2 linked regions of the Neurospora crassa OR74A genome follow. The protein of the gene in region 2 interacts with the protein of the main gene of each other region in a pairwise test. Links are inferred from orthologs where the notes say so. Each region holds a gene or a part of one and is shown on either strand. Other genes may lie near its edges. The genes, in order: NCU03630 and NCU03028.

The links.
Region 1: the proteins of NCU03028 (region 2) and NCU03630 interact in a two-hybrid assay, tested with the Schizosaccharomyces pombe proteins (2 studies listed by BioGRID). The link is inferred for Neurospora crassa OR74A from reciprocal best matches to the Schizosaccharomyces pombe genes dsk2 and pga2.

The regions. Positions count from the first base shown.
Region 1 is NC_026505.1:1,890,996-1,905,591, reverse strand, and holds NCU03630 (hypothetical protein), read right to left. Parts: upstream 5,531-14,596; 5' UTR 5,158-5,530; coding exon 5,037-5,157; intron 4,953-5,036; coding exon 4,621-4,952; 3' UTR 4,503-4,620; downstream 1-4,502. Other genes in the region: NCU03633 (mevalonate kinase), read left to right, coding at 1-261; NCU03632 (farnesyltransferase/geranylgeranyltransferase type I alpha subunit), read left to right, coding at 888-933, 1,072-1,779, 1,858-2,801; NCU03631 (hypothetical protein), read right to left, coding at 3,319-3,836, 3,926-3,974; NCU03629 (hypothetical protein), read left to right, coding at 5,838-5,870, 5,932-6,055, 6,110-6,291; pod-5 (polarity defective-5), read right to left, coding at 6,659-9,427; NCU03627 (hypothetical protein), read left to right, coding at 9,954-9,986, 10,043-11,809; NCU03626 (hypothetical protein), read right to left, coding at 12,871-13,170, 13,246-14,084, 14,137-14,305.
Region 2 is NC_026501.1:8,384,404-8,400,313, forward strand, and holds NCU03028 (deubiquitination-protection protein dph1), read right to left. Parts: upstream 10,363-15,910; 5' UTR 10,094-10,362; coding exon 9,659-10,093; intron 9,594-9,658; coding exon 8,733-9,593; 3' UTR 8,280-8,732; downstream 1-8,279. Other genes in the region: NCU03032 (betaine lipid synthase), read left to right, coding at 1-67; tca-13 (succinate dehydrogenase cytochrome b small subunit), read right to left, coding at 1,750-2,102, 2,242-2,259, 2,354-2,483; cyt-18 (tyrosyl-tRNA synthetase), read left to right, coding at 3,463-3,707, 3,772-5,536; NCU03029 (hypothetical protein), read left to right, coding at 6,204-6,246, 6,381-6,917, 6,988-8,279; gh18-3 (chitinase), read left to right, coding at 14,965-15,150, 15,211-15,442, 15,592-15,910. UniProt on the Schizosaccharomyces pombe protein: Protects ubiquitin chains against dissambly by deubiquitinating enzymes thereby promoting protein degradation.

The sequences.
Region 1 (14,596 bases), on a different chromosome or scaffold from region 2:
CTGGATAAGCTGGAGCAGCGCCTGGATGAGGAGGGGTACTCCAAGTTCGAGACAACACTAGGTAGCGACGGTGTTGGCGTACTCTGGCCGGCTGTACTGAAGAACGGGATGGACGAGGATGAGGAGGGCGGTATGGAGATCGACCTTGAGAAGTTCCTCAGTGCGGACAGTAACGAGGCGCTTGAGAAACTTGTCGGTGTACATGGCGACCGGGGCGAGCGGGAGGGCTGGAAGTTCTGGCGGGTTGAGAACCGGGACTAGAGAGTGTGGGCTGAGCTGATTTGGGACGTTAATGGAGTCAGTCCCCCATGTCGGTGTGCAGGCAAGGGATGACAGACAGGCATCTTGGTGTTGAGGGTCTCTCTCTCCCCCCCACGATACCTAAAACGAGCTGGCAGGAGGCAGATCCCTGATTAGACTTCCTCACTTCAGTTGTACATATCGCGTTCTATTCTTGTTGGACGCGAAGATGGAACGATTACTACGTAATGAATATTACTTATTTAATGAGGGTGTATATTAGAAGATTAGTGGTAATGAGGTCATGAAGAGGTGAAGTGACGGGGAAGTAACAAGGTACTGCTTCAACGGCATCTTTCTGGAATAAGTAGATGGAACGTCAAGAGAAGAAGAAGAAAAGAAAAAAAAAAACAGAGGCGGCAAGCGATGTTTGCAGTTACCAAGGGGATCATGATATTCCGTGCATGTCAAGCAAGTATTGTGCTCACTTGCACGTTGCGATTGTTTTGTTTGATGCGCCACTGGTTTCTGACGTCCTTCGTCACTTTGTTTGCAATCCGACGACCGCTGCAAATCAATGCGTTCAGCAAGGTCCCCGTTCCGCTTTAAGACCCCACCATTTCCCCCTTAGCAACCACCTCATAACGATGCCGCCCAAAGGTAAAGCGGCCACAAAGCCCAAAGCAACCGAAAGTAAGTTTCTTTTTTGGTACTCGACCTCGAAAGATCTTATTTGTCCTTCTCATCCTGTTCCTGTTTGCAGCTTTTGCGTCTGTTGGTACAATAATACTTGGAAAGGTAGCTAACCAGGGCGGTCCTCTCCTGTCAAAGCTCCAGCGACTACCACCTCCAATCCCACCACGACCAATACTACAAGCCAAACAGCATCGCAACCATCAGAACCTACTACCGTACTCGAACGTAGCCAACAGCGTTACGAAAAGACCCGTCCATTCGAAGCTGCCCGTCAGCAGAAAGGACTTAGCAAACTCCCCAAAGAAGACCAGAAAGGTTGGATCTGCGACCAGCTCCTACATCTGACCAACCGCCTGCCCGCAGCCAGCCGCTCAAGCCTCCTCGGTCCTAAAGCGTCCAAGGAGATCTGGTGGACCGTCAACGGGACCAACTCAATCGTCCGCGGACTCAAGCACAAGCCGAAGCCACATACTACCTGGGGCACTGATCGGAACGGCCACGACGTCGGCAGCTACACGATCGAGCGGTTCGACGAGCGATTCAGGAAGCGGATCGCATTGACAGCGCTCCAAGTGTCGAGCAGAGTATTTCGGGAGAACGTTGAGCGTGAGAAGAGAGGGTTTGTCGACGCAAGGTCCGGACGGGAGATTATTGTTACGGAAAGAGAGATTGACGAAGAGAAGGTCAGACGAAGCAAGATGGCTGCGCTCAAGAAGGATCTGTACGGCGCTATCACGGGGAAGCTGGCTGAGAGCGTGGAGTGGGAGGATGTCGTTCCTATTCCGCATGAGGAGCCCGAGGGCGCGCTGGCGGCAATCATTTATCCGGCTGAGTATGCTGAGGGTATGTTACACACTTCCTTTCTTTCCCCTCCCCATCAATCAGGTCATGATCAAAGCTGATTCTCGTCAAAAAAAATAGCAATGTCCTACCTCCGCGCCGTCATGACCACAAAGGAGTACTCACCCCGCTGCCTTCGCCTAACTGAGCACATCATCGCCATGAACCCCGCCCACTACACCGTCTGGCTCTACCGCGCCGCCAACATCTTCGCCCTGGGCATATCCATCCCGGACGAGATCGAGTGGCTTAATGAAGTTGCGCTCGCCAACCTTAAGAACTACCAAATCTGGCACCACCGCCACCTGCTCGTTGAGCACTATTACCCCACCATCTCTTCCGACCCCGACGCTCTTGCCCAATTCGCCAAACAAGAACGTGGCTTCCTCATCGCCATCCTGTCCGAAGACACCAAGAACTATCACGTCTGGTCGTACCGCTCGTGGCTGGTTGGCAAGCTGGGGATGTGGGAGGACGAGGAAGAACTGAAGTCGATTGAGAAAATGATTGACGAGGACGTGCGAAACAACAGTGCTTGGTCGCACCGGTTCGTTTTGGTGTTCTCTAACCCAAAGTATGCAACGCCGGGTAAGGCGGCGACGGAAAAGGATGAAAAGGTGCCCCAGGAGCTGGTGGAGAGAGAGGTGAAGTATGCCCAGAACAAGGTGTATCTGGCGCCGCAGAACCAGAGCCCATGGAATTACATGCGGGGCGTGTTGGTGAAGGGCGGCCAGCCTCTGGCAAGCGTGCAGGAGTTTGTGGAGGAGTTTGTGAATAAGTTGGGTGAAGGGGAGGAGGAGGAAGAGGTGAAAAGTACGCATGCGTTGGATTTGTTGGCGGAGATTTATGCGGAGAAGAAAGAGAATGAAAAGGCGGATCTGTGTTTGAGGAGGTTGGCGGAGAAGTGGGATAAGATTCGGGGAGGGTATTGGGAGTGGAGGAGGAAGTGTTTGACACAAAGTGAGACGGAGAAGGCGCCCGGAGAGCAGGTTGAAAAGGCTGAGGAGGGAATTGCAGCGGCCTAGGTGGGTTTGCTTGATTTGAAGAAATGGGTGGCTTTCAAGAAACGGATGGTTTTGGTCGAACGGTTCGGACGAGAGTATTGAAAGCAGTTATAGGGTAGCTCAGTACGATCATATGGTCAAAGGGCATCGGGTAATTTGGTTCATACAGAGGAGGGTTCCCAAGCCGCTCGCTTTGGTAGTTGTTCTGTAAAACAATTTGTAGTGTGTATCATTCTTGATGGCTTTTCGAGGTACCATATGTATTTTGTGGTAGAGGTATTGGCTTCCCACATGCTCCGCTTCGAGGATGATCGTAGCCATCTAACAATCCTTCTCTTTTCCCTCCCTGACGCCGAATCCATAAACTCATGTAAATAAAAAGAGAGAAAAAAAAGACGCTGAAGAAAACCCTTGGCTGATGTGAAAATCCGGTGAAACAAATACCTCGGATACATGCCTTCAAATACCCCCTCCGCTCACACACAACCTCACGCTTCTCCCATTGTGTCCCCCATCCGTCACACAGAGCTATCCCACCTTAATAAGCCCTATAAGTATGACTAGCGACCAAATACCTCTTATGCCCCTTGAACTTGGGCCTCGTCACATAATCCCAATTTGGCACCAAAACAAAGACATCCGAAAAATGCTGCTTGGGCGGCGTGCCCTTTTCTTTGCCCCCAAAAGTCACACTCCCAGCCACGGTAACCACCATCATCAACCGCGCATCCTCCGTCCTCTGCATCATCTTGGCATCCGTAGCCGCCACGATCTCCGCAGGCGCAGCAAACCGGTAATCCTTGTTGATGACGTGCACGTCGAACCCCTCGACTTCGTACTTGACTTTGCCCTTTTGCTGGGTAAAAGTGATGAGGCGCTGTTGCTCGAGAAGGGCGTCCCACTCTTCGGGCGTGGCGACGACTTGGCCGTTGATGCAGATGTCGGCGGGCGGGTGCGAGGCGGCGAGGTACTTGGCGTTGGTGTTGACGTAGCAGGAGGAAACGGGTTTGCCGTCGGTGAGTTGGGTGTAGTACCAGTCTGTGAAGGCGCGGGCGGCTGAGGGGCAAAAGGAGTTAGTTTGGGTGAGGTGAGGTGAGGTGAGGTGAGAGGATGGTAGGAACTCATGGGTGAGGGAGTGGGCGTACCTTCGCCAGAGGAGCGGATGATGGCTTCGTCTTTTGAGATAGTCGCCATCTTGGAGCTGTGGTGTGAAGAAGTGTATTTGGTTCTGGTGGCTGATGTGGCAAAGAATGGGCGATGACAAGGCCGCTTCGCTGGTGGGTGAGTCTCGCTGATGTGCTTCGATGACGCTGATTGATGGTGGTGAAGCTGTTTTGACGACTTCACCGGTGGTGAAGCAAGAGTCCGCGCTAGGTCGAGTGACTGATATATAGGTAGATACTGTCTAGCGATTATCTGTCGTTATCATAGGTAGGTTTCGCTGAGGTAGCAATATTCAAGCTGCGCGTCGAAAGTGAGGTTTGGATGAGGTTTGGAGGTTGAGGTGTGTAAGGTGTCCTGGTTTAAGAAAGTCAAGTGGAAGGTGAGTGAATGTTAAAAGGACGTAGAAGTGGGTCCTAATGAACTCGTTCTGCCTTCTCTCTGGCTGCAGGCCAAGCCATGCTTCACTCACAGAATGCAGGTTGCAAGGTCCCACCTTTCCCGCAACACAGTTTCTTTAGCCTTCTCACATGTAAGCAGAAGTTGTCACCCCATCAGATGGCTTGTCTCGTAAATGCATTATTATTTGATTATTATGTATTCGTCGTCGTCATCCATACTTTAATGTATAATATCATCCAACGTCAGTCATACCCAAACCCGAACCCAGTTCTTTTTTCTAGTCCTTAAGTAGGAACTCCTCAATATCCTTATCCTCCTCTTCCTCCTTGCTCTCCCGCAGTTTGTCCTCCTCGGCCTCAATGAGCTTCTTGATGACCATGCGCTGCCTCTTGCGGGCCTTCTTGCCCCAGTCCGCCGCCGAAGACTCTCCGTTTTGCGCCTCGTCGTCTTCCGAGTCGCTGTCCTCACCAGGAAGACGGACCATGGCTTTTTGTCCGCGCAGCTCGTTGGGGGAAATGGTGCCCCTGAGGGCTTCAGCGGATTCTTCTTCGTGCTTCTTCATCTGCGCCTTTCCGCCGAGCTTGATGATGTAGGGGCGCAACAGGGCGTCTATGATGGCGCATTGTCAGCTGCTGTTCTACTTGAATTGGTTTTGCGCATTGCGCTCTTGAAGAAAATGATGTTGCAACTCACAAGCTCCGACAATGATGATCAGGCGAATCCACTTCTCCGCCGTCATGTTGGCGAAGGTGCCCTTGACATTGTTGGTGATACGATCACCCAGGACCGTCACAACATTGGCTATTCCGTCCATCTTGGTCGGTTTTGTTCGTGCGGGATTTGGTTGTTATGTGGTGGTTGTCTTCGGGCTTCTTTGCGCAAAGGGCGGTGGGAGATGCTTTTGCGACAACACGGTAGGCAGAGGTCAAGTCTTGAGGAAACACCGGATGAAAAGGTTTCGCTGTCGACTGATTAAGTACGAAAGGAAGAAAGAAGCCTAATTCAAAAAGTATTACAAAGAAGGATCCCGAGATTGCCGGAGTTGAGGAGGAAAGAGAGAAGAAGAAGAAGAGTCTAGAGTCGTTGTGAAAAGGAGAAGGGAGGAAAAAAAAGTGTTGAACGGACACGGCACTTGCGAACTTGCGGACGGGCTGGTGTGCTCCATAATCCATCTGCGCGAGAAACGTCCACTCGGGACGCCGACGGCACGGGAATGGACTTGACTGATACGTACAGGTTACATCAACTTCGTTCGGGGAACCCCACCGGCGCCGATGTGGATACACCCAGATGCCCCACTGAGCGTGCCCCTTGGCAGGCACTCACCTTAGTGGGACTAGAGCCGCATTACGTAATCCACTTTACAGCAAATGCCAGCCGTAGGGTTACCCCACTACCGACGCGCTCAACGCGTCCCCCCCAGCCGAACATCGTTTAAACGGACGGGGATGCATGAGAATTGTGTAAGTGTAAGTATCACTTACATAATCCAAAATGGCCGACGCCTCGGGTGAAGATGTTCAGGAGGTAAGTGTGTTGATGATTTTTCTCTCCGCGAGCTCTAACCTCAAATACTGAACAAGAGAAGCGTCTCAAATCAGCCCTGTGGTTCGCTATTGGCAAGATGGTCGACGATGAGTCGCTCCGTCGCAACATGAATGCCACTCCTCAGTTCATCGGAGCTCTCACCGAGCTTGTGTGGACTCAGATTGGTACGTCTTTTCTCAGCGCAAGTTGTTTGGCGGTTACTAACTTGTGGACATCAGAAAACGTCGCCATCGATTTGGAAACCTTCAGCCAACATGCTGGGCGTACCACCGTTACCACAGATGACGTGCTTCTACTTGCTAGGCGGAACAGTGACCTTCAGTCTGTGATCAAGGATTGTGTGGATCACCTCAAGGCAGCCAAAGTTAAAGAGAAGACGAGGAGTGGGAAACAGAAATAGCGGAGAGCCACCATGATAGACAAGCCTTGAAGCCTTGAACGTGCTCGAGGCATGGTGAGTTAAACTATGGGGTCGACGACGCAACGAGAAACGTTACCAAAGGAATCGGCCATTATGGTACATGGCTGACGCTACACACGCATTATTGATACCCAGGGCGAGGCATGAAATAGATTTAGGAATGGGCTTCTCACAAGAAAGAAAACTTCATCAACAATCACACAATCGGCAAACGGGACACTAGCATTCGGTCTATACGTGTATGTGTTTCAAACTTGGTATCACATTATTTCATCCCATTTCACAAAAAATCCACTGCTACTTTTCCCAGCCGTTCGTTATGCTTCCAAAATTTCAAGGCAAAAATCTATGCATCAGCCATAACCAGATCCCCATCCCTCTCCTCAATCGCCGGCGGTGCCAGACTGTCCATTTCCTGCAAAGTATACTCAACAAGGTAACTTTCATCCACCAGCTCTTCTATGCGCTTATAGTGCCTCTCAGTATACACCCTCAACGCGTTGAGCACCTCCTTCAGACTCTTCTGTCCCCTTGCGCCCTTGACCGACAGGTTGGAGAACTTGTTGGCAGGGTAGAGTCGGACGAGCGCCCAGAGGATGCGCTGCGCCACGGGCGCCGTGCGCGCATTGGTGTTCCAGTCGCGCAGCCTCAGCAGGAGCAGGAAAATCTGCTCGTCGGAGAGGTTACCAAGCACCTGATCGACGGCCTTGATACCGCAGAGAGAGCCCTCTTCGGGGGCGTTGGTAGTGACCACGTTAGTGAAGATACCCAGGAGACGACCGGGGTGGTTGAGCTGCAGCGCCAGAATGATAGCGTCACGGTAGGCGCCGGCGTGGATGTAGTTCTCGAGCTGCTGCTCCTGCTCGACGAGCTTGAGGGCGGCCGAGGACGCGGCGGCATGGGTCTCAGCCGAAGTGTCCTTCCAGAAGGTTACGCGGGAGTCGGAACCACCAGACACAAGCATATTGGTCTTGGGGTGCACCGTGAGCGTCCAGAGACGGTCTTCGTGGTTATCGAGCGTGCACTCGGTCTCACCAAGGTTGGCGTCCCAGACCTTGACGAGGGAGTCGGCGCCCGCAGAGGCGAACTGGATGCGCTGCTTGGCCTTGGAGGCGGCAGCAGCAGCCTCGTCTTCAGCGTCGTCAGCGGCCTTGGGAAGGCGCAGCCAAACAACCTTGAGGACGTTATGGGAGTGGCCCTCGAATGTGCGCAGACAGGTGTAGTCCGAGAGGTTCCAGAGCTTGATGGTCTTGTCACCAGAACCCGTCAAGATTACACCCTTACCGGAAACAGCAGTGCCGGTCTCGCCTTGAATGGCAGGCATGCCCTGAGGCGCGAACCGAACCGTCCAGACACCCCTGCGGTGACCCTTGAGGATACCTACGACTTCTAATGTTGCGGAATCCCAGATCTTGACCGTCTTGTCTTGTGATGCCGAGGCAAAAAGCTTTCCGTTGGGGCTGATGTCGAGAGCGTTGATATCCTTCTCGTGGGCTAAGCGACGGAGACTGGTTGAGACGGCTCCCTTTTGTGATGTTCGGGGAATGTCACGCTTCTGAACGAACCGATCCTGGGAACCGGAAATGAGGAATGCGGGCGGGTGGTCGAGGGGGTTCTTGAACGCCTCCGAGTTCTCGGGAGGTACGATCTTGGGGAGTGCGACAGCGCCGACAGACTCGATGTGGCCAGTGAAGACTGCATAGCACTCGAACGAGTTATTGGCTGGGTCAACCCTCCAGAGGCGAGCTGTGTTATCCTTGGCACCACTAGCAACCCAGTGGCCAGACCAGTCTACATCGAGAGACATGACAATATCCTCGTGTCCCTTGAGTAGAGCTACGTCATGGCCAAAGTATGCCGCGCCCTCCTCCTCGTCGCCCAGCTGGGGCTGCTTATCCGCCACGGATACAAGTCTGATATCTTCGGAGTTGGTTGCAAGAGCCATGAGAGACTGATCGGGCAAAAGGTAAACAAGGTCGAGAATTTCGTCGTGTGTTCCCGAGATGCGCCTGAAGGGTTCCAGAGGCTTCGTCGACTTCTTGGTGGCATCGGCGACCGAAGGTGTGCGGTAGAGGGCGAGGGTGAAGTCAGACTGGGCGCAAACAACAAGGTTCTTGTGGGGAAGAGCAAGGGCTGACACTATCGACTCGGCTTCCGACTTGGCGTCTTGCTTTGCTGTGATTTCTTGGTGTGTGGTTGTGTCCCATAGCCTAAGTAGGCCACTTGTTCCAGCCGAATACATCAAGCTTCCGTTGTTGAGGAAGCCGACAGCTTCAACGCCTTCATGGCGCAACATGGGTGTTCCCCTCCATGTCCCCTCCTTCCACAGCCATACTGTCATTGTCTTATCTCTGCTACCGCTGAGAAGGGCATGTAGTTCTGGTGAGTAGTCAAGGCTTTGTACGTTGGACTCGTGCGCTTCTCTCCTCGAAGTCGGGTCGGCGTAAACGGGGTAGGTCTTGCGTTTGCTGAGGTCAAAGATGCGGATCTTGCCGTCCTGTGTGCCGTAGGCAAGACGGAACTTTGAAGCGACGCTGTCATCCTGAGCTTGCTCCTCCTCGGCTGTGCTCTTTCGCCTGTTCTTCTTGTTCTTGTTGCTGGCTTGGTCCTCGAGAGCGGCAATCTCGAAGAAGTGGAGGGCAGAAATAAGGACACTCGGGCCGCTAACGGTATGGGTAACGTATCCTCCGACAATGTCCCAGATCTTGATGGCGCCGTCGGCAGCACCGGTGGCAAGAAGGGTGCTAGTTCGGTCGACCGCGAGAACCACGACGGGGGTGGCGTGGGGCTTCGTGGTGCGTACAAGGGTGGCTTCGATGGAATCGTAATCTGGTGAGACCTTGAGGGAGTATATGCGCATAGTAAGAGAACGAGAGCAGACAATCAGGTGGGAGGCCGAAGGGGTGATGGTGAGGGTCGAGATGGGCTCTCCGTCGCCCTCGATCTCGGCGAGCTGCTTGCCGGTGTTGAGCTCTGTGAGGACGGCCTGCTCGCCGAGGGTGGTCGCGAGGATCCTAGCGCCATTGTCGAGGGCTACGGAACCTCCTGTGAAAATGGGCTGGATGACATTGTTGACCTCGAAGGTCGTCTTGGTGGTGGTTTGCCTGTACGCCATTGTGGTGACGGAGTGTCTGGCTGTACAAGTGGATTAAATCAAACAGAGAGGCAAGGAGGGTTGCGATTGCGCGCCGCCGCCTTTGGGGTTCTGCTGTTAGAACGTCAAGTGTAGGGTGGTACACTGCAAAGTCCCCAATCCCAAAAACTTTTCGCGGGTCGCTGCCTGCCGCCCGCTGATAAGGCCAGGCAATAAGGTTATCTTAGCGCCATGCAGATCCAACCCCTGTAGGAATCCGTGACGAACCACGCTGGAGCACTGGAGCAACTGGAGCATGACCCTCCCTCGGCTTTCTGTGCTCCCCAATCGCCCCCACCAACGTCAACTGTCTGTTCCAGTCTCCATCACTCATCAGCTATACCACCACTATCTTCACCATAACACAATCTCTGGCACAGGACCTAGTTTGTTACACGAGGATGGCCACTGACTGGTCAAATTTCACCGTGTAATGTACACATAAACATCTTGGCAATGCCGGATAGTAATCTACAAACACCTCCTGAATCCAGTTGACCCTTTCACGATGCGGTTGGGCCCACTGACATCACAGGCCCTTGTAAGTCATCGTTGCAAGACTTTCGGGCTACAACTTCGTTCTGACACTAAGGACAGGGCCGGTCTCCCTACGATGAGGTAGTTGAGGGCACTGGCGAGCCCCAACCCGGGGCCCCAGAGCAGTTGTATGATGACCGAGGACGACCAGTGAATCCAGAGACACGGCGCATCAACAGAGACATCATCCGCTCTCACAACGAGGTTATGCTGGTCATCGGCGTTGCCGAACCGGACAGTGGCATCAACGAGGCCCAAGCTCTATACGAAGCCGCCACCAAGCACCAGTACTACGAAGATGGAATTGGGAGGAAGCTGTTCCTCACCGGCGAGGTCTTGGCCACCGTCGGAGTCTGGGGAGTCAACGGCTTGAGGCAGCGTATCTTGCTGTACAAGGACTACGCCCATGTTCCCTTTTCTCGTCTATTTCACTTTCACAGGCGCCAGCAGTCATGGGGAGAGTACCTCTGGGCCGGGCTGCCATCGTATGTCCTGAGCGATAGTTTTGCTGGATTCGACATGCCAGAATACCCATGGGTCAAGTACGTGTTCTCCTGGGTCAACTTACACCTAGAGATCTTCGTCTTCATGCAACGAACCGGCCTTGTGAACACCTCGAGATGGGTTCCCACCCTTGGTTTCTTCATTCCAGGCTGCAATGACTCCCCAATCTTCCTACCAAAACTCCCATCCTCCTTTACCCCTGGAAGCATCATCAGCTGGCTCGGCGCCTTTGTCGCCGGTATCGCCCCTTTTGCCGGCTACTGGTTCTTTTCAAAGACATACGCCCGGCTCGTCTGGTCACTTAGGCGGAAAATCCAACGACGCTTGCCCAAACCCATCAACTTCAGCAGGAGGAGGACTCTTAAGGAGGTAGTCCCCTATTTACAACCGCCCAGTGGAACATACATCCCTCCCACACCCACACCAGAAGAGCAGCAACAGCGACAAGAAACTCAGCCACGAACACCGACACCAACACAACAGCAGCAACAACAAGCCCCAAGCGCAAACGCAATCGAAGCAGGCTGGGAAATGGTCCACGCCCCCTCGGACACCCTTCCAACCAACGACGCCCTCCCTACCGGTCCTCCACCCGATGGTACCCGCCGCCGCCAAAGCATCATCTCCGTCAGCGGTCCCGGTCCCGGCACTCCCGGCGGTCCCAACGGATCCACCTCGAACACAAACCAATCCCAATCTCAATCCCCAGCAGCAACAGCCGACGAAGCCCCTTTCCTCAGCGACGACGACGAAGAAACCGAGCACGTCAACCCCACTCTAATCACCTTTGACGTCGACACCAGCGACTCCGCCACCAGCGACTCCGCGCCCATCCCTCCCGGCGCAGCAGTTTGGGCCGCCGAGCTGAGGCCTAACGTGCCTGATACCTCTGCTGGCTCGAACCGTAACTCGCAACAAACACAAACCAATAATAGCAGCAGCTTGGGTTTGGACGCCCCTCTCTACAGAGACAACGGCCTCACGCGCCTGCCACACGTCCTCGCCGCGGGCGCGTTAGGACTTTGTGCTGCGAGGGCGATGATGACGCCGTTTGAGAGCTTGGCGTTGTTGGGGCTGGCGAGGCCGTATATGGCGCGGCGCATGGGGCTTGAAGGGGCGACGCTGGACATGGCGTTTCACGGCTTGGGGTTCATGGATGCGTTTTCGCTGGGGAGGATGTTCAACGCGTTGGCACTGGAGATGGTGCATTTGGCGATTCAGTGCGATTTGTGGGCGGGCATGATGTGCGTGGCGGATTGGTTTAGGATGAGTGATCAGGAGTGGTGTGAGAGGGAGGGGGTGAAGAGGAGGACTCAGGAATGAGGATCAACGAGGGGGGGAGAGTTAATAGGGTCAAAGGGGCAGAAGGTAAAAAGACAAGTGAAGATAAAGCGAAGGAGAAATGAAGAGAGAAGTGAAGGGGACCTGAATTGAGGGGTGGAGGAGATCTGAAGAGGAGCAACGCTAAGAGAAGCTAAAGAGGAGGTGAAGAGTAGGTGAAAAGTAACGTGAAAGGCCGGATGAGCAGAGCTATATAAGGCATGATCGCTATAGAACTTTCCACGCTTGAATATATCAATCGGTAGATGCCTGGTCCGAAGCCAGCAGTACATACTACAAGACAAGCACTCTATCAGAGTGGCATTTGTCATGGTTGTTCGTTACTGTTTCTATTTTATCAAATAAACAAAAGGAAAAGGAGAGAGAAGAAAAATAATGTTCGTTGCAAGTCACTCTAATTCTCCGTCTGCTGTCCTACTTAGCAAGAGACAGGTTATGCGTAAGCAGTCAACCATCCCGCAACCACAGCCGCTTGAACCACCGAAACTCTCCAGAATTTGCCTCACAAGAAGGAGTACCCCTCTCGTCATCGTTCTCTTCCTCTTCTTCTTCGTAACCTTCTTCGGCCTGACCTTGTTGGCTACACAAGGAGGACCGGGCGTGTAGAACAAACATGCCGGCCCTTCGCCCTTCAACGCTCTTTAGTCTGCCACACCAATAAGGTAGCGACCTTTCTGCTCATGCTCTTGCTTCTTCGGATCCCAGGTTCCCATTTTCATTGGCGGCCGTCAAGACGAATAGGGAAGGACCAGGTTTGGGGCCAGACGGAATCAGAATATCCTTCTGTCGCCGCTTCATGTTCCAGCCGTCTTTTACCGGCTGCCAATGTCTTTGAGGGGAGTGATTCAAAAACAAACACAAACCAATTGCAAAATAAAAGCGGATAAAACTCCAGCGTCCGTTATGCTAACCCCCTCTTTCCGTCCGGTCTCTATTATCATTGTCTCGTAAATCCTCGTGATCCTTGTGAATTCATCAGCCATTATCCATCGACCAAGGTCATCCCCCCCCCCCAAGGACCTATCCTTTCATAACCCCATTCATCACTTCGTCATCCTCCTCCCTCTTTCCTTCCCACTACCCTTACCCTTCATCTTCTTATCTTCCGCTCCTGGCTCCATCCCCGCCAACCACCCCTTGATCATCTTCTTACTATCCACCTTCATCTCCTTCTCGCTCTTAATCTTGGAGTTAAACTTCTTCGTCTTGGTGATCGTCGCTTTCCCCGGCGGCGCAACCACAGACGGTACGCCCGTGTCGAGAGGCACGACGACGGTGGTTTCGCTTGCTGTGGGTACTGGTGGTTTCTTGGGCTTTGTTGGCCTGGCAGTGACTGGTGGTTTCTTTGTCGTTGGTTTTTGGGTAGATGTTTTAGGGACGGCAACTCTGGTACTGGTGTTGTCTTGATGCTTGCTTACTGAAGCTGAGGGGGCGCGGGAAGAGGAGGAGGATGTGGCGGTTGAGGGGCGGGTGGAGGTGCGTGTTGTTGATTTCCCGCGTGTGGAGGATCGATGGGGTGAAGCGGAGGGCATGCGGCGGATTTGGGGGCCGGCATGGGTTTTGGTTACTGCATAGAAGATGGAGAATAGGAGCGGCTGTTTGTGGTTCGAGTCGTGACTTTTGGTGCGTTTGTGGTGGTGATGATCCTGGCTGTGACTGTCTTTGTGGCCTTCATTTTGGCCTTCGTTGAATGTATGCCGATGTGGAACTCGCGGACGGTGGTACGAAGCTGGGACCCTGGTGTCGGCCCCGGTTGTATGTCTTCGCCTCGGTTTGTACTCTCGTCGCAATGTTGGCGCTGGGGACAAGGCTCGAAAGGGTTCTGGTTCGTGAGTGAACACCATGGGTTCCGCTTCTTGCACGGTCGGCAAGGGCTCGCTTTCACGGTAGCCGTCGTCTTCTGACGGGTTGTCAAAAGCATCATCACCCGAGACTGAGGTGGCGTTGGTGGTAGTGCCTTGATGTTGTTCCTCCTCATCTGCGACCGAAAACTCTCCAATGGGCTCTGACTCTGCGATCTCCGCGAAACTGCGTTCTGGATCCTCCATGACCTCGGAGCTCTCTGGCATGATCGCAACGGGCTCTTCGGGGAGTTTCCAAGGGCTGACCGCAACTGCCGGGTGGTATTCCTTCTCCTGGGGTATCTCTATACCTCCCATATACCCATCCGCATATCCTCCGGCATACCCTCCGGCATATTCCCCCGCATAACCTCCCATGTAGTAACCCTCTGTGTATTCATAATCTCCCCAAGTACCTGCAGGAAAAATCAGCTGGGGTACAACAAGGAAGGATTTTCAAGGGCGTACCGTCAGCCAATTTCCTGGCTCGATAGAAGTAGGTTCCATCTTCACTTGACACCCAATCTGACCACACCTGCACAGGCTCGACCACCACTTTCTTTTCCCGCTTCCATGGGAACCACTTGAAGCCCTTCGCCGGGTGCTCGGTAGTATAGGCCCGATGTCTTCCTGGCATTATGGCGAAGGCAAGACAATACCTTGAGACCTGACCAAGAGAGAAACACGGAAGGAGTGGGCCTCCGGTTGACTAAAGCAGGTACGACGCCCTCGTGTAGGAAATCCAGGGCCAATACGACCTTCAAGTGTGATCTCGGTTTGACAGGACCACGTAGTCCAGGCAGTCTGCGTTCTTTTTCTTGAGGTGAAGCAAACAGCGAATGGAATTCTCGATTCACTAAAAAAGGATCTTGTGACAAAACGAACCGATCCCACGCTGGGAGACGGACGGGCATAAGTAGGAGACGGG
Region 2 (15,910 bases):
TATGTATGCTAGTTGTTGGATCTTGGAAAAGATGGAGGATCTTGAGGAGTTGGTTGACTCAGCTTAAGTAGATATTTTGGTCCTAGGTGATAAGTTGGATAACCCTATTTAGCGCAAGACTACCTCTACTGGCCAGAACACGGCATCTGATATTCTTTATCTGCCACTCAACCATTCAGCCGGCTTTTTGATTCAAGCATGGTAAAACGAGGACCGTGGGAGAAATCGCAACCTCTTTACTGGCCTGACATGACAAGGCGGGTCAGATAAGTATTTGTTATAAGAGCTTCCACAGCAAAAAGATGTCCCGACGAGATACACGGTCTCCCAGAGCACTGTAAAGAGAGAAAGCAGGCCGACGCATCGCAATGTTTTGGTCGCACAATTGGTAGGCGTCAACTGGGGAGTCGAGCAAATCTCATGCTGGTTTCTCCGATACTTATTACGCGCCATGGCCATTGCTGGGTTTCGAAACTCAGGTGATGTAGTTCGGGTGCTTCTGGCCGCATGGAAGATTGGGTTGAACGGTTCGCGCCAGTTTCGCAAAGGGTTGCACAGGCCATTCAAAACCTGGTTGGAATGTCTTTTGCAGCTGGTTTGATCACTAGGAATGAGTGGCTAGGAGCATATCGGCGCTTATGTGAGCTCAGTAATCAGTGTTGGTGAGCAGACGACCAATTACTATGCTTCAAGGGACCGGATCCCTTGCCGTCAAGTGAGGTTGAACTCGAATGACCGAGTTGGATGCCTGAAAAAAATATGCTTTTGCAGTCAAGCATAGCTGTGAGAAGGCTATATTGTATGCTGGGGCTGGATTGTCTTCGAAGTGCCCCACGTTGTGTGCTAGTTAGGGTGAAGCTGAAATGAAAGTGAAGAGATGAGGGAATAGGAAACTCCAGTCGGCCAGAAGAACAACTCTCAGAAAAAGAAAGTTTCCATAAGGCCAGGCAGGCAAATGCCGAGGACGCACGAGCAAGGCCATAGCAGTCCACTCGCCATTTTCCTTTATTAGTCAAACATTCCCATCGTCATTGTTAGGTATCTAGGTAGCTGAGAAGGGTCAGATGAGATACTGTACCTTACTCGACCAGCATCACCCTGAGATAGCTTTAGTTCCATAATCAGGAAAAGCGAGTGATATAACTTGATCAACCGCCAGTGCCTCTTCATCTGTTTTCGATATGTTGTAAGAACACTACAACGACCGGGGCTGAAACCAACTTGTCAGTGTTCGCTTTCCGCCAGCCCCAGACCATGATCATCCACTTGAAAGGCACAACTCCATTCAGGGGCAATCCACCGACTTCAATGCGATCTTGAAGCCACCAAGGAAAACAGCACTTGCGCGTTTAGATTGCTCCTGTACCAGCAGCCCCTCTTCGTGCCCTCATAACCAACCTCTTCCCGGTGTCACATCTGACGAGCAATCCAAACTCGAGAACTGAATCCAATCTAGACCGTCTGCGCGCCATGAGCCCCTGAACAGCGCAGAAAAAAAAGAAGGCCGCATGGAGACAAAAGAGAAAGGTATATTCTTTTTACGCCGTGAGGTATGACAAAACAGAACTTCTTCCACCCCTTTCTGTTCCTCTTGAAGGTGCCCTCCCTCACCTATTCCCGTCATTCCGGCCTTTGCTCCATCCAAAAAAAAGTAGGAGGCCTTAGGAGTTTCGGTAGTTCCCAATGCATATCAAACAGCCCTCATCTTTCCAACCGGTCCTCGCAACGATAACTGTCGCAAAGAGTCGCTCAAGCCTTCCAGACGCGCTTGATGGTCTCAGTAAGACCGACATCGGTGGTCTCGAACTCGTAAAGGGCAAGGCCAACGAGGACGGTGGCGGCGTTAAGGCCCCAGGTAAAGACCTTGCGGGCCTTGGGGACGCGCTTCGAGGGAACGTAGTCGACAATGATGTTGCCGAAGCCAGTGTGGGAGTGGATAAGGATGGTGGCGGCGAGGACGGCGTCCATGGTGGGGTTGAGAGAGCCGGCGGCGAAGGGAGCGACGGTCAAGGGAATGAGACCGGCGGCGACAACACGGTCGAAAGTCCAGTGGTAGGAGCCATGAGAAGGAGAGGGAGGGGGGACCTCGACGGGGTCGTTCACTAAAGGTAGGTGTTAGGCTATTGTTTGCATGCATGTGATGTCGAGGTGTCGTGGTGGATGCGCTTTTCGCAACCCGGCATGGGGGTTGTTTGGTTCATGACGGGCAAGGAAGCATAGCTGTTGGGTTGTTGTTCGTACCTGTACCCTCAATGCGCTCTGTCCCCCTCATAGTGTTAGCACAAATACCGATCCATGCAACATACGTTGAACCTGTATTAAGGTCCGAGTGTGCGTGTATGCGATTACGTACGAGGAGGAGGGGGGAGCAAGCTCTTGCGGGAGGTGGTGTGGAAGGCGGCAACACGGAGACCGTTGGCAGCAACGGACTGCTGGGCCGCAACCTGCTTGAGGAGGGCAGAGGAACGGGCGACGGAAGCCATTGTTTCTGGTGATTGTGGTGGTGATGACGGGTGTTGGGTGGTGATGTGGTCGAAGCGTGGTGGTGATGGCGGACAACCAATTGGACTTTCGAGAACGGGAGGGCGGTCTTCGCAGGAGATATCGTCGCACGGGTCTTTCGGTTGGTTCAGGACAGGATCGTGGCCGTGGATCGCTAGGAGCGCTGGGAGTGACGGGACGGGCGGGCTCCGGAGTGGAACGGACTGGTGCCGAGCTGCGAGTCCTGATGTAGCTTATCCCTCGGCAATACTCGGCCAATCGCAGCATAGAAGATGTCAGCGGCAGCGTGTGCCGGTCGTGGCTCGGCGTGGAAAATCCCATTGTTCCCGGCGTGGCCGTAGCTTTGAGATTGGTACCTCTCACTACGTACCGGATCTTGCTGCATCCAGTGGGTTGCACATGCAATCCAAGGGCCCTGTCCCCCCGCCAAACCCGACCCGGCAAGAACAGGGGTGGCCCAAGCTCCCCTCCGCCGTTCCAGAAATTATTTCGCAGTCGGAGATGCTAGCGCGTAATGATAGGTACGGCAGCGCGTTAGTTGGGGCGATAAGATACCTATCGAGACCTTCGCTGCACCCGGGTTGGGACGAGGGGCCATTATTTTTTTTCGATGGCGCCGTAGTTCGCCGGTACCTTAATGACTGGCCGAAGCTATCATCGCCGCTTGTACACTCCCAACCTACCTCAACACCAGTCGACTGATCCGCTCACACCACGCGACCCCGGATCTTCAGCCGGAAACCCTACTGTACCGCCTGGGCATCCCGACCAATCTACTACCGCGCCCTTGGAACCATAACCAAACTCTTGCAATTGCCCAGCAAGGGACCCAATTCCGGTTGATCGGATCGCAAAAAGAGGGCCGGAATCGGCGCTTCGGGTTGCGCTACGGATTGCGCCCAGTTCCCTCTCCTTCCTTCTTCTAGCCGTTGAGCGATACGCAGCCAAACATCACATCAAATGCTGCTTCGCACAAAAGCCCTAATACGCTCCGGCGGGAGTATCGCCAAGTATGCTGCGGCTAACCCATCATGCTTCATTCTCCAACGAAGAGGACTCAGGCGCGAATTCGGACCAAAGTACACGGCCAAGATCAATGAGGCCGAGGAAAACTGGCAGGCGAGGGCAGAGGCCATCAAGAAGGGCAAGAAGCAGAATACATGGGACCTGTTTGAGGAGAGAGGCTATGTCAAGGATACAGCTGGGTAAGTTTAGACAACTGGCCTTTCGATGCGCACAGGAACATGACTAACACGATTCTTCTACCAGCACCAAAGAGCACATCGCCGAGCTTATGAGGACGAGGCGGATTGGGGCATATGTCGGCATCGATCCTACCGCACCATCATTACACGTCGGCCATCTACTCCCCCTGATGCCGCTCTTTTGGATGTACTTGGAAGGATACAAGGCATTCACCCTCATTGGAGGCTCGACGGCAAAGATTGGAGACCCGACTGGCAGGCTAAAAAGCAGAGATCATTTGAGCAGCAGCGATGCGACAATGAACATGACTAAGATTCACTACCAACTCAAAAAGCTGTGGGAGAACGTGGACACTCAGATGCGAGCGCGTGGTTACGAAGCCGATTGGGCGCGGAAGCGAGGCATCGTCAACAACAACCATTGGTGGAACAAGCAGCCCATGCTCGAGGTCCTGAGGAGGGTAGGTCACGCCTTGCGCATCGGCCCCATGCTGTCGCGCGATACCGTCAAGAACAAGATGACCCAGGGAGACGGCGTGTCTTTTGCCGAGTTCACCTACCCCATCATGCAGGGCTGGGATTGGTTCGAGTTGTTCTACCAGCAGGGAGTTCAGATGCAGATTGGAGGTTCTGATCAGTACGGCAACATCATATCTGGTCTCGAGGTCGTCAAGGCCGCCCGAGAATCCGAGCCCGACCCGCAGGAGCGCAAATATGTTACGCCCAAGACTGCCCTTGACGAATGCGTCGGCTTCACCGTCCCTCTCTTGACCGATTCATCCGGTGCCAAGTTTGGTAAGAGTGCGGGTAACGCCATTTGGCTTGACCCCTATCAGACCTCCGTCTTCGATTTCTATGGTTACTTTGTCCGCCGGTCCGACCAAGAGGTTGAGAATCTCCTCAAGCTCTTCACTTTCATGCCCATCAGCGAAATCACCAAGACTATGGAGGAGCACATCAAAGACCCTAGCAAGCGTGTCGCGCAACATACCCTTGCGCGTGAGGTTGTGACGCTGGTGCACGGTAAACAGGAGGCCAGCGCCGCCGAGGACCAGCATCGTATGATGTATACCGGCCAGATGACCATTCCCCAAGTCTCTCGTGCCAAGGACGCAGCCACCGGTGGCGATCAGTACAAGACGATTTCAGATCAGCCTGTCACCCTCAACAACGCGCCCCGTATCGACATGATTCTCCCCGAGTCGCTCATCATGGGCAAGTCTATCGGCCGCATCCTCTACGCCGCCGGTCTCGCCAGCAGCACCACCGAGGGCCACAAGCTCGCGGCTGCCCAGGGCTGCTACGTCGGCGGAGCCCACAGAGCCGGCGGCGAGAACGTCACCATGAACCCGGACCTCATCTCTTTTATGCCCGTCAAGCTGTGGTTCCCCGGCGAGACCCAGCGCTACCTGATTAACGGCAACCTGCTAATCCTCCGCAAGGGCAAGCACAACGTGCGTGTAATCCAGATGGTCAGCGACGTCGAGTATGCTGCTTCGGGCCAGACGTACCCCGGACAGAGCTTTACCGGCGCTGTCAGGAAACTGAATGAGATTATGAAGAACCTCAAAGAGAAGAAGTTGACCCCTGAAGAGGCTAAGAATGCTGTGAACGAGCTGCAAAAGAGTTCGCAGGAGAAGCAGCAGGGCCAGCAGATTATCTTCCCTGAGGAAAAGAGCAGGCAAAAGAAGGATATGGAGACCAAGCTTAAGCAGGAGATGATTGCCTCAGTAAAAACGATTGATGGCATGATGGACGAAAAACCCTCTGTGCGGGGAGATGGGGTGAAGAAGCAGACTCAAGATGATAGGGATCCGTATAAGTGGTAGAGAATGTGTAAGATTCTATTCGCATGGTAGGGTGGCACAGAGAAAAGGCATAAAGGTTGGATTGGTTGGACAAAAGCGTTACTCCCCATACATATTTTGTAAGATAGAAGCATGAGAATACCCGATTTTTGGACATCATAGTCAATACCGTGGAGCCCCGCAATATGAAAAACACAAACGACAATATGGTATTTCCAGAATGATCATGATGTTTCTCAAGCAAACATTTTGAAATACACGGATAGTTAGCGTTCATTCCTGGGTCCTCCGATGCTGAAGTCGAAAAGGGGTTATGTGTTCTCTGTTTTTGTGGGAGGGGTTAGGGTTATATGTGAGGTACACACTAGCAGCCATTGACCTCGTAGCACCAAGGCACCTTTCCCAAGACAAAACACAATACGTGACAACTTCTGGCAAACCGACCACGGCGACGACTACTATGCTAACGTCATCTTTGGTTTGCAAAGTGTCTGATCATTGTTCTCAAAAGCAATTTCATTCTACTTCAGATTCGGATGACATCTATACGCTACTCGGTAGAACCAACCGATAGAAATGAGCGCCGGTAACATCCGATGAGACCATATTACTCGTCTCGGCGTCAAATCCAAAGTCGCTTTTCCCAACACCAAGAAGACCCTGGGTTTCGACAACAATCATTTAAATCATGATTCAAGCAATCTTCTATGCCAGGTTCTTTCCAAAAGAGGGTACATATAGCCTGCCTTGCCCGTCACTCATCAAAGTCATTTGCCCACCCATTTTTATTGGGTCTGGCCAAGACAGCCCAAAGACGAAGTGTAGTGAATCTCAAGCTAACCAGTGGCACTTTTCCCTAACTCAGGAACCAAAATCGTCGCACAAAGTCCACCGGGCTCAATCGTGCCAGTTCCACTTCCAGAAGGCACCAATGGTCCCCTCAACAGGAAACCATGTCTCTTCGACTTCAGCGTGCTCCAGGAGTACATCATCCCGCGCAAGGCCTTCTGCAACCGCTTCATCACCGTCAATGACCCGGACGGCAAGTACGTCATCCTGGGATACCCCGTCTCCATTCCGGACCCGCGGTACGACCGGAACGAGTTCATTTTCAACTTTGGGCTCGTCATCAGTTGCGATGTGGTGGACCAGATCCCCTATGAACGCGTCGTAAGGAGGCTGGCGGCCACCTTTGCCGAGATGGAGAAGCAGGACGGCTACCTGAGCCAGGACGCGGCCACGAGGGGCGGAGCGGTCGCGGTTCATGGGTATGGCAATGGCGGGGGCCGTTGGGTGGATGGGGACGGGAATGAAATGGTGAGTATGCGGCGGCCGATAGAATCGTTGCTGGAGATTGTGAAGGAGGATCTGAATAACTATGGAGAGTGCATGATTCCCATTGGTATATCTCCCTACCTATTCACCCCCCTTCATCACCTTAGTTACAAAAAATGCTGACCGTTTCAAAACAGACGACGCTAACACAATCAACATGAAACTCTTTCCTCACCACGTCAACCCCCCTGAAGTCAAAGGCTGGCACGTCCCCGTCGCCAAGATGAAGTTCGCCGACGTCGTCGACCCAACCTGGGATCTAACCCTGCAGCGCGTCGTCGCTCATATCGATGGCGTTTCCGACGTGCGCCGCATTGCTCTGGCCTCCGGCGTCTCCCTCGAGCTGACCCAGCTCGCCCTCCGCCACTTGCTCTACTACGACACTATCCTGCTCCTAGACATGTTCTTGTTCGGCGCGTGCTACGCCCCTCGCCCGGGCATCCACGACTTCATCGCCAACGTAGGCGGCATGGTCGACGAATGTGCTAACTACGTCTGCGTCGGACCTATCGATCCGTCTCCCAGCAGCAGCAACAACACCGGCACCGGCGCCGGACCTTCTTCTTCTTCTTCTTCCTCCGACAACTACCACCGTCTCCGTTCTGTGTCAGGAAGCACCACTTTCCACAACCACAATCCCTCCAACCTCTCCACCTCTGCCAGCACACGCCACAGCCACCTCTCCCCCTTTGGCCTTGGCCCAGGAGGTGGTTCCGACCGCGATCCCAGCCCTTACGCCCAACACCACCTCTCCCCCGTCCACGAACGAAAGCCCTCCACCTCCCCCCGCAACCCTTCCTCCAACATCCACTCCTCCTCCTCCCCACCGTCTAACAAGCCCCCACCACCCAACGGATACCGCATATCCAACTACATGCTAATCCGCCTAATGACTACCTTCTGCGTCGGCAAAACCGTGGCCGAATGGCTCAAGGGCCATATGGATTCCGGCTTCGACGTCCTACGGTACGTGGACGTTCGCCGCTTAGTTCAATTTGGCGTCATCAAGGGGTGTTTGTACAGGGTGCACAAGTATGTTATCTCGAAACAGTATCTGGCTGCGCTAGCTACGGGGTTGGCTAGACCTGTTTCGCCATCCGACACCGGAACTGGCACAGGCAAAGGGAAAAGTGGGAGGGGGTATGGCGAAGGGGAAATGGGGAGGGAACATAAAGTGGCGGTGCCGGGCGGACATTATGATACCTATCGTGAACCCGGGAGTCATGGGGGTCCGGGGGGGAAGGGGTCGAACAGCAAGAAGATGGCGATGATGATGAAGGCTAGTGGGGATCCGTTGCAAAAGTATATGGATGGACGACATTGTTTTGATCAGATCATGACGGAGAGGAACATGACGGACGCGGAGATTATGGATAAATTGAGGAACTTTCCGGTGCCGGCTGGGGATTTGACGGTGCTTTATCGGTAGAGGGAATGATAGCATGCAAATAAGAGTTGATTAGTGGTGTTGATAGTTAGCCCGGCTACTGTATGCGAACTCGTCTTCTTAGAGGACAAAAGAACCTTGTTGATTCAAGCAAGAGGAGACATGTTTGATAAAGATCGCTAAACTGTAAACATGTAAACCTCCTTACGTGAGGACACCCGCTGAAGGGGTGTTGTTTTGAGCATCGTCTCTGTGCTGGACTGTCTATCGTCCTCCTGAGCAACCATTATCGCTAGATATTTGATTAAAATATATCTAGCACGGCCCAACAATGACCTCGCCAGGAGATAACACTGCACTCCCTGGACATCCTTCAATCCACTATCCCCTCGACATTCTGTCGTTCATTGTGAATACCGCCGTATCCTTGAGGAACAGCAGATAACTGTCAATCTCCGGTCCACATCTCTGCACCGTCTAGTAAAGAAATTTAAGTTAAGAACCGCCCAGAAGATGTTCGATAGCACCCTGTACGCTACCACCGCTGCGGCGTAGTGCAGCAACGTTCCGATCAAAATCGAAGAAACCCATATCGTTGAGTTGACGCAGCTGCTCAGCATACCTCTCCTCTGGCGGCCTGTTGTCGGGAGGAGCAACGGGATTTCCGCCAAAACCACCCAAACCACCGCCACCAAATGCCTGCATCATCTGCTGCAAGGCCTCAGGCGAGATAGGGGGCAAACCAAAAGGGTTCGCGGCACCAGCCTGACCAGGCTGACCAGCACCTCCAAGCGCTCCGAACAAAGATGCCAACGGATCTGCTTGCTGCCCAGACCCCGAAGTGGCGCCAGTAGCCGGAGCAGATGCGGCATCCCCGCTCCTGGCACTCTCGGTCGAAGCTCCGGTAGACGCAGGCGAAGACCCCGCGGGGTTTCCAAAGAGCGCGGCAAAGGGATTACCTGCTGGGGGAGCGCCCGCCGGAGGAACACCAAATGGAAGAAACATGGCGAACGGGTTCTGCGCATCGGCATTGGCGTTGTTATTACCGGCACCGGTCGTCGCGTTCGGAGTGTTGTCCGTTACCCCGGGCGCTGGAAAGGCGTTGGCGCCTCCGCCCATCATCCTACGCATGCGTGCCGCCATGCGAAGTGCCTCCGGGTTCGTCATCATGTTGCGCATCATCGGAGAGTTGAGAAGCTCGCGAGCGCGATCAGCGGGCATGTTGGCCAACATCGGGTTGGAGGCAATCATCTGGTCGATGACGGCGGGGTTGTTGAACGCCTCGGCCATGACCTGGGCCATCGCTGGGTTCGAGAGCATGTTCGCGATTTCATCCTCGCTAGGAGGCGCGCCCATCTATAAAACATCATTAGTAAACAGCTATGTTAAGGGTCCAGGGGGCCGAGAAAGGGGTGGCGTACTCCTCCGTCCGGCCCAAACAGGTCTCGGCTTGGTAGCGGCACCTGACCGGCAAAGCGAGCGCCTGTGAGGCCAGCTAAAAGGTTATTCGAGGGAGTGCCGGCAGCCATGTTCTGAGGTATCGCGGGCTGAGCGGGTGTCGAGGTTGAGCCACTGCTGGCTGTCGCGGCGCTGGCTGGACGCTTAACCATGTGCACTGTGTTCATGTGCTTGATCTTGTAGAAACTAAGAACTTCATCGTCCTTCATGACCTTTCCGGAGTAGATGAGGCGTTGCTGCTCCGGCGAGATGTTCTCGTATTCCTCCCCCGCTAACAGGGTCTTGAGCTGAAGGACGGTCGCAGACTCGGCAATGGTGACTGTGTGGTTCTTGTCGCCTGAGCATTTTACTTTGAAGGTAATCTGGCCATCGCCGCCAGTATTTGAAGCCTCAGCCATGATTTCTATCGCTTTACGATTCGGCAATGAAACGGTTAATGGCGGTCGTGGATGATGACGTTGGTCTCAGGGGAGCTCCGATCGCCCCACGTTCGAGTTCAGCACTTTGTGATGGGATTATGTGAAAGCCTGCTGCAAAGTCGTTCGTATGGAATTACGATAGCTTCGTGTGCTGGTGAAAGTTGAGGAATGGTGATGCTACGGAAAAGGGTTGTGTTGGGAACCAAAGTAATTGAGTTGTTGTAATGTTGGAAGGTCACAGGCGGAGGCCGATAAGCGCTGCCGCCAACAGTGGCAGGTGGGTGGCATGGCATTAAGAGCCCCTCCACGGCAGGCAGCAGACCCCACTACAAGCCGTCATTAAGGTATACTAGGTAGTGTAGTGTTCACCGAGGTTCTTGCCTTTTTAGGCTTCACTTCTGTCGTTGAACACGACTCCATCCCTAACCCTACCTACCAAGTGCATGTTACAGTACCTTAGTACCCTACTTCAGCTTTCCCACAGGGCCTCGACGTAACGAACGCCGGTCACTAGGCGTATACATAGGTATACATACTACATGGAATCGATGGATGATACGAACGGTGCCTGATTGCAACTTCTGCGTGCCATATAGATGGTGAGCCACTATCTTGTCACCTACTAGTTCCAGTCAGCTGCGACACCTTGATAGTACTCTCCTGCTCTCACACCCATCCGCTTCTTTGAGGTTCTATCGGGCTCTCGGCATCCACATGACCTGACACCTGACCGGTTCCCCCCATCTTATCAGCTTGTCCAGTAGCTTTTGTTATCGCATGTGTGTGATGACAGGGTACTGTCGATTAGCTGCTGCTTCGAACCAAATCCATGTACCTTCTAAACTAATGGACGAGGGCGAATCGTCTCACTCTTTCCCTTGACAAACCTAAACCTCTTCCCTTCTCTGGTTTTGAACAAACTTTCTTCAGATGGCAGACACTTCATCGCTTCTGCCTACACTTTTATTCTGGTGGATGAAAGAAACTCAACGCATCAAACCTCCTACTTTGATGCGCAATCAGCATTCTTGAAGGTTCAGTGACCCTCAGCCGATAGCCGGTTTGGCGAGAATAATCTTTCGTTGATGTCTTCCGTCAAACCTGCACAACAAAATCGTATTCGCAAACTACTCACGTTTTCGGTTGATCAGTAGCGTTTGTTGTTATGGCGGCATTATATGGGCCGTCGCGTCAACCTCAGCGAACTAGGAGGTAGAACATATGGACTATACCAGACAGGTATGTACAGCTCAGAGTGCATGGTCCGTGGACCATGCCAGGATACTCCAGGTAAGTGTATCAAGGATATCGAGCATCTGCTCCTTCACCGCCTTGGTGTAGCCTTGGTGTACATCAAGACACATCTCTAACCGCACTTTAGAGCATACCGCCTAGGCAGTTCTTCTTGCTGCGGGCCAAGCAAGGATACGACGTGCTTAAGCGACCATTGTCTTCCACAAACCTTTGAGATCATGGAACTATTACACTATGATAGGCTGTCCGTCAATGCGAGATGTCGACGCACTAGCAGCGAGTGCCCTCACGTTGATGAGGATTCTTCTTCGTTCGTCCGTCTGAAGTGGAGTTGGCGTGGGCAAGGGCATGGACTGAGGAGGAGATCAGCGCTTTCCCAAGAGATGGCCCGTCAAGGTAGAGCTGCTACGCGTGCGACGCCGGTCATGTGGGTTGTTGTATACGGGATTCAGCGGACAGGCGCTGCCTGAATCGATCTCGTGAAATGCAACCTTCCGGTTCTGGGCCTCGAAGAGATCCAATCCCGGGCTTCGTTGAGGAAAGGCTGTGCTGCCACGTTGGACCGAAACTTATCGACAGACGACACCAGGATCCCAAGGATCTAATGGAATCTTCCTCGCTCGTTAGCAATGTCTCAAACTGCAGTTTTCATGGAAGGTCCCGCCCGCTGCATGTCTTTCAGCTACAGATGGTCTTTTTCCCATGCCGGCAAGCCACATGAGAAATTGGACGCAATAGGAGTCATCATATGGACATACGAGGCACTCTTCGAGGACTCCTGCTCTTGAACTTCTATGACAACCACTCGCGGTTCGGGGCAGGGCGCATCGGAGAAATACCGACCAGCTGAGAAGAGCGACCATGGCACGACTGGCGGTTGTGCAACTGGAGGTGCAGCATCAAGTACCAAGAGGTCGCGTGCAACTTTCTGTCTCCGAACAAGGGGGTTTCCAGCCATGTTGCTGCACTGACTGAAGGAACACATGACAGCTCTCCACGGTTGAAGCTAGACAGCCGACAGCAGGCCATTTCAGGCTGGTTGCCGGACGCCGGCGGGTGTGCTTAAATTTGTTGAGTTGACTGCATGATGAGTCCTCTAGTGAGCCAAGAAGTGGCCAGGCACGAAGCGGATGGAATTAAGCAATGCTGTCCGTATCCAATACTTGCGTTGAATTGGGCACCTGCATCAACAGCAGCCTTGTGTAAGTGACTCGGGTTTTAGGAGCGGCGTGGAACACGTCATAACATGGCGAGGACATCGATTTCGTGGGGGCACACAAAGAAAGAGATCGGAGGTTGAGGCGCTGAGACCAAGTGTCGGACACGCAGGGAGGCGTTGTGTTTGCTGTGTCGAGGTAGGTTGCCCGAGGGTGTGAGGTTGAGGTTCCTACTGCCTGTATTCATGATGCCCTGCTGCTTGACGTGGTAGAAAATCGCAGGCACAGAAGCCCAATTGGAGCTGGCCAGTGGCAGGGTTAGGTACAGGGACGCTATTAGCTGTACTCTAACAAAATCCTCACTGACGACAGGGGCTTTTACCTCTACTGCCCGGGCAGTGATGACTAAATTAGGGAAGGGTCCCTTCGGAACTGCCATGTGGAAGACACTGCTTGGGCCGTGTGTTTTAGGACATTGCATCATTCCAGTCCAAATCGGGCTTCCTCGTCATCGTTCAACCGGCGCCAAAATACTAATAATTTCTCGAAACAGCAATGCCATCAAATTCGAGCAGATACCCCTACTTCAGCTTAGCCTCTGATGGGTGTCTCATCTCGTAAGATCCGTTGTCGAGACATTGCACAACGGCCAGGAACGTGGCAACGAGACAGGGAGGAGAGGTACCCGCCCAGTAGCAGTAGAGGTAACTTGAGCAACAAGACGGATGCAATATACTTAAGGGTAAGTACCTCTACTTACACTGGGCGCATTTGACAAACTCACCCCTCTAACCCTGGTCGTCACCTTTGTGCTGTTCACTCCTTCCAGCGCGAGGAATTGAACGGATGCCACGATCGCAATCATGTCATCGCGCCTGCCCTTTCAGGCTTTCAGGGCTATGACCAAGCCACCATGAAAAGTCGCTCTCCAATTTCAATTCTTTGTCTTGGGGCGGGGAGATTGGCCTGTGTCAAACTTCCCCGCCCAGATGGGCCTCAAAGTCAGGCTTCACTCACTTCAACCTTGCACCCAGCTCTCACTCGATGGCTTCCACTAGGTTCGCTTCCTTCAAAATAGATCAAGCTTCCAACTTCCCCACGATGGCCGTGGAGCACAGTCTTCCCAACCGCATGATCCCAGCTAATAGATCGACAATCGACGGCCAGGTTTGGAATAGTCGCAGGCTGATGCCGTAAAAACTTCCGAAAACCCCTTCTGTGTACCAAATAACCAGTCACCAGCACCCTCGGACGTCAACCGGCCACCTCGTTTCTTCGGAATCTTTGTCCATACGCGCCTCACACATGACAAGTGCGAGCCAGCCGGGTGCCCCATCTCATGGACCCTCGAGTTTCCATTCCGAGATCATGGGAGGGCCCCGCAAGTCTATCCAGGAAATTTGCTTTTCCCGCTGGCGAGTGCTACATCCGGGGGTGGGTTCTCCGGAGAACAGGCCGAAGTTGACCATATCCACATACGAGGATGACCATGACACAGAGGGTAGTTACCATATGCCCCTGCTCAGCACAATCCAGGTTTAGAATTTGTTGGGCGAAAATCACCAAAAATCATCACCTGCGAGCTCAAGCCTGCAACTTGCAAGGACGTGGACTTATGTAAAGCCCTTCAGGATTGACTCCAGATGCAGATTAGTTTTGCAAACTGAAGCCCAATGGCCGAGTCAAGGCAAGGTCTCCCGATGCCACAGGTCAAGGATCTGTTGACAGTGAAAATGGCATGAAATTAGACGGGAAAAGTCAGCCCTAGGAAATCTTAACTACGACCCAACCACCACAAAAGATTCCGGTCACCGACTTCTACATCTCATTGGAACCTTCAGTGTTAGCCGCCTGCATCCTCGTTACATTTTTCCCACTCTTTTCGTAAAGTGCTTCACTGGTCTGGTGGATACGCAGCGGTGCATCTCTGGCGTGCCCATAGAGGTACCGCTTATCCTTTCCTTTCCTCGATACACCCTCGCAGACAACGTCATGTCATGCAGCAACTAGGGCTTGCGACTTCCGATCGTTGAGCCAACTCGGGTGTCCGCGTTGCTCCACTGCCATGGGTAAGTTGTCTGTTTGGTTTGCTCACCGTCCCATGAACCCCAAGGTCTGGGAACCAGCTGTCCCAGCAGAAGAAGGGTACCTAGTTATATAGACGCACAACAGGGCAATCTGCCACTCTTCTTCCGTTCTTGCTGCCCGACCAGCAGCATCTCAAACACATCGGTCCAACAAAAATGAGCTGGCACAAGCCTCATTCATCAAGTTTCCGGTACTTTTTCCCTAGTTCTTGTATTCATAAATGAGCGCCATGGTCGTGTCCGCTTCTCCATGTTTTGAGGGTTCTCCATCCGTCTCCTCCATCGTCTCCTGCCCGAACCCTCGATCGCTACCTGGTCTTGATCATCACGCGTAGAAGAGTCCGCATTGACCATGAGCTTCCCCTCCGTTTCTCGCAAGTCGCGCATCACAAGCGCGGCCAACGTTCTCTACAACAATGCCGTATATTGGCCGAATCACAGCGTGTACCGAGGTGACACTCCCGGTTCACTCAACTACGGATGCATCAACCGTGTTTACTATGCCTTTGCCAACATCATGGCAGACGGAGGGGTGTTTGTAAGTTTGTTCCGACGCCATCTTCCATCGTTAAGCACTTCAGCTGACTTGTTCTGGTAGCTCAGCGATGAGTGGGCAGATGTCACAGCGCCTTGTGACGGTGTCCAAGGGGCTCTCGGGTCCTTGATGCATCTCAAGCAGAAATATCCCCATCTGCAAGTGGTCTTATCCATTGGGGGTGGCGCTTCCAGTGAGACATTCGCACTGGTGGCTTCCAGCGCCATTCTCCGTAACAACTTTGCACAGTCCGCTCGCGGTCTGGTGGAAGCATCCGGCCTGGATGGAATAGACAGTACGGCTCCTTTCCCTTCGCCTCATCTCGCCTCGTCCAATATCGTAGCCAATGACCACGTACGCGTGAGAAGGCTCAGCCACTCTTGCCTCGTCACACATGTACAAATCCCCAATGATCTTGTTGAGATGTTTGACTGACAGCACCAGTTGTATGGGACTACCCCTGCTCCCCGCAACAAGGAAGTGATTTCGTATCTTTACTGGCCGCAGTCCGCGTCCATCTTCCCGAGGACCGTTACCTGCTCACCGCTGCTCTCCCTGGGGCCAAGTCCATCTTGCAGAATATCAATGTGCGGCAGGCAGCTGAATACTTGGACTCCATTAACTTGATGGCGTACGACTATTTTGGGTCTTGGTCACACCGAAGTGGGCATCACTCCCAGCTTTATGCAATGAATAAAGAAGAAGCATCAGGGGCGTCGAGTGTGCAATATCTGATGGCTTCCGCTGTCCCGGGCAAGAAAAT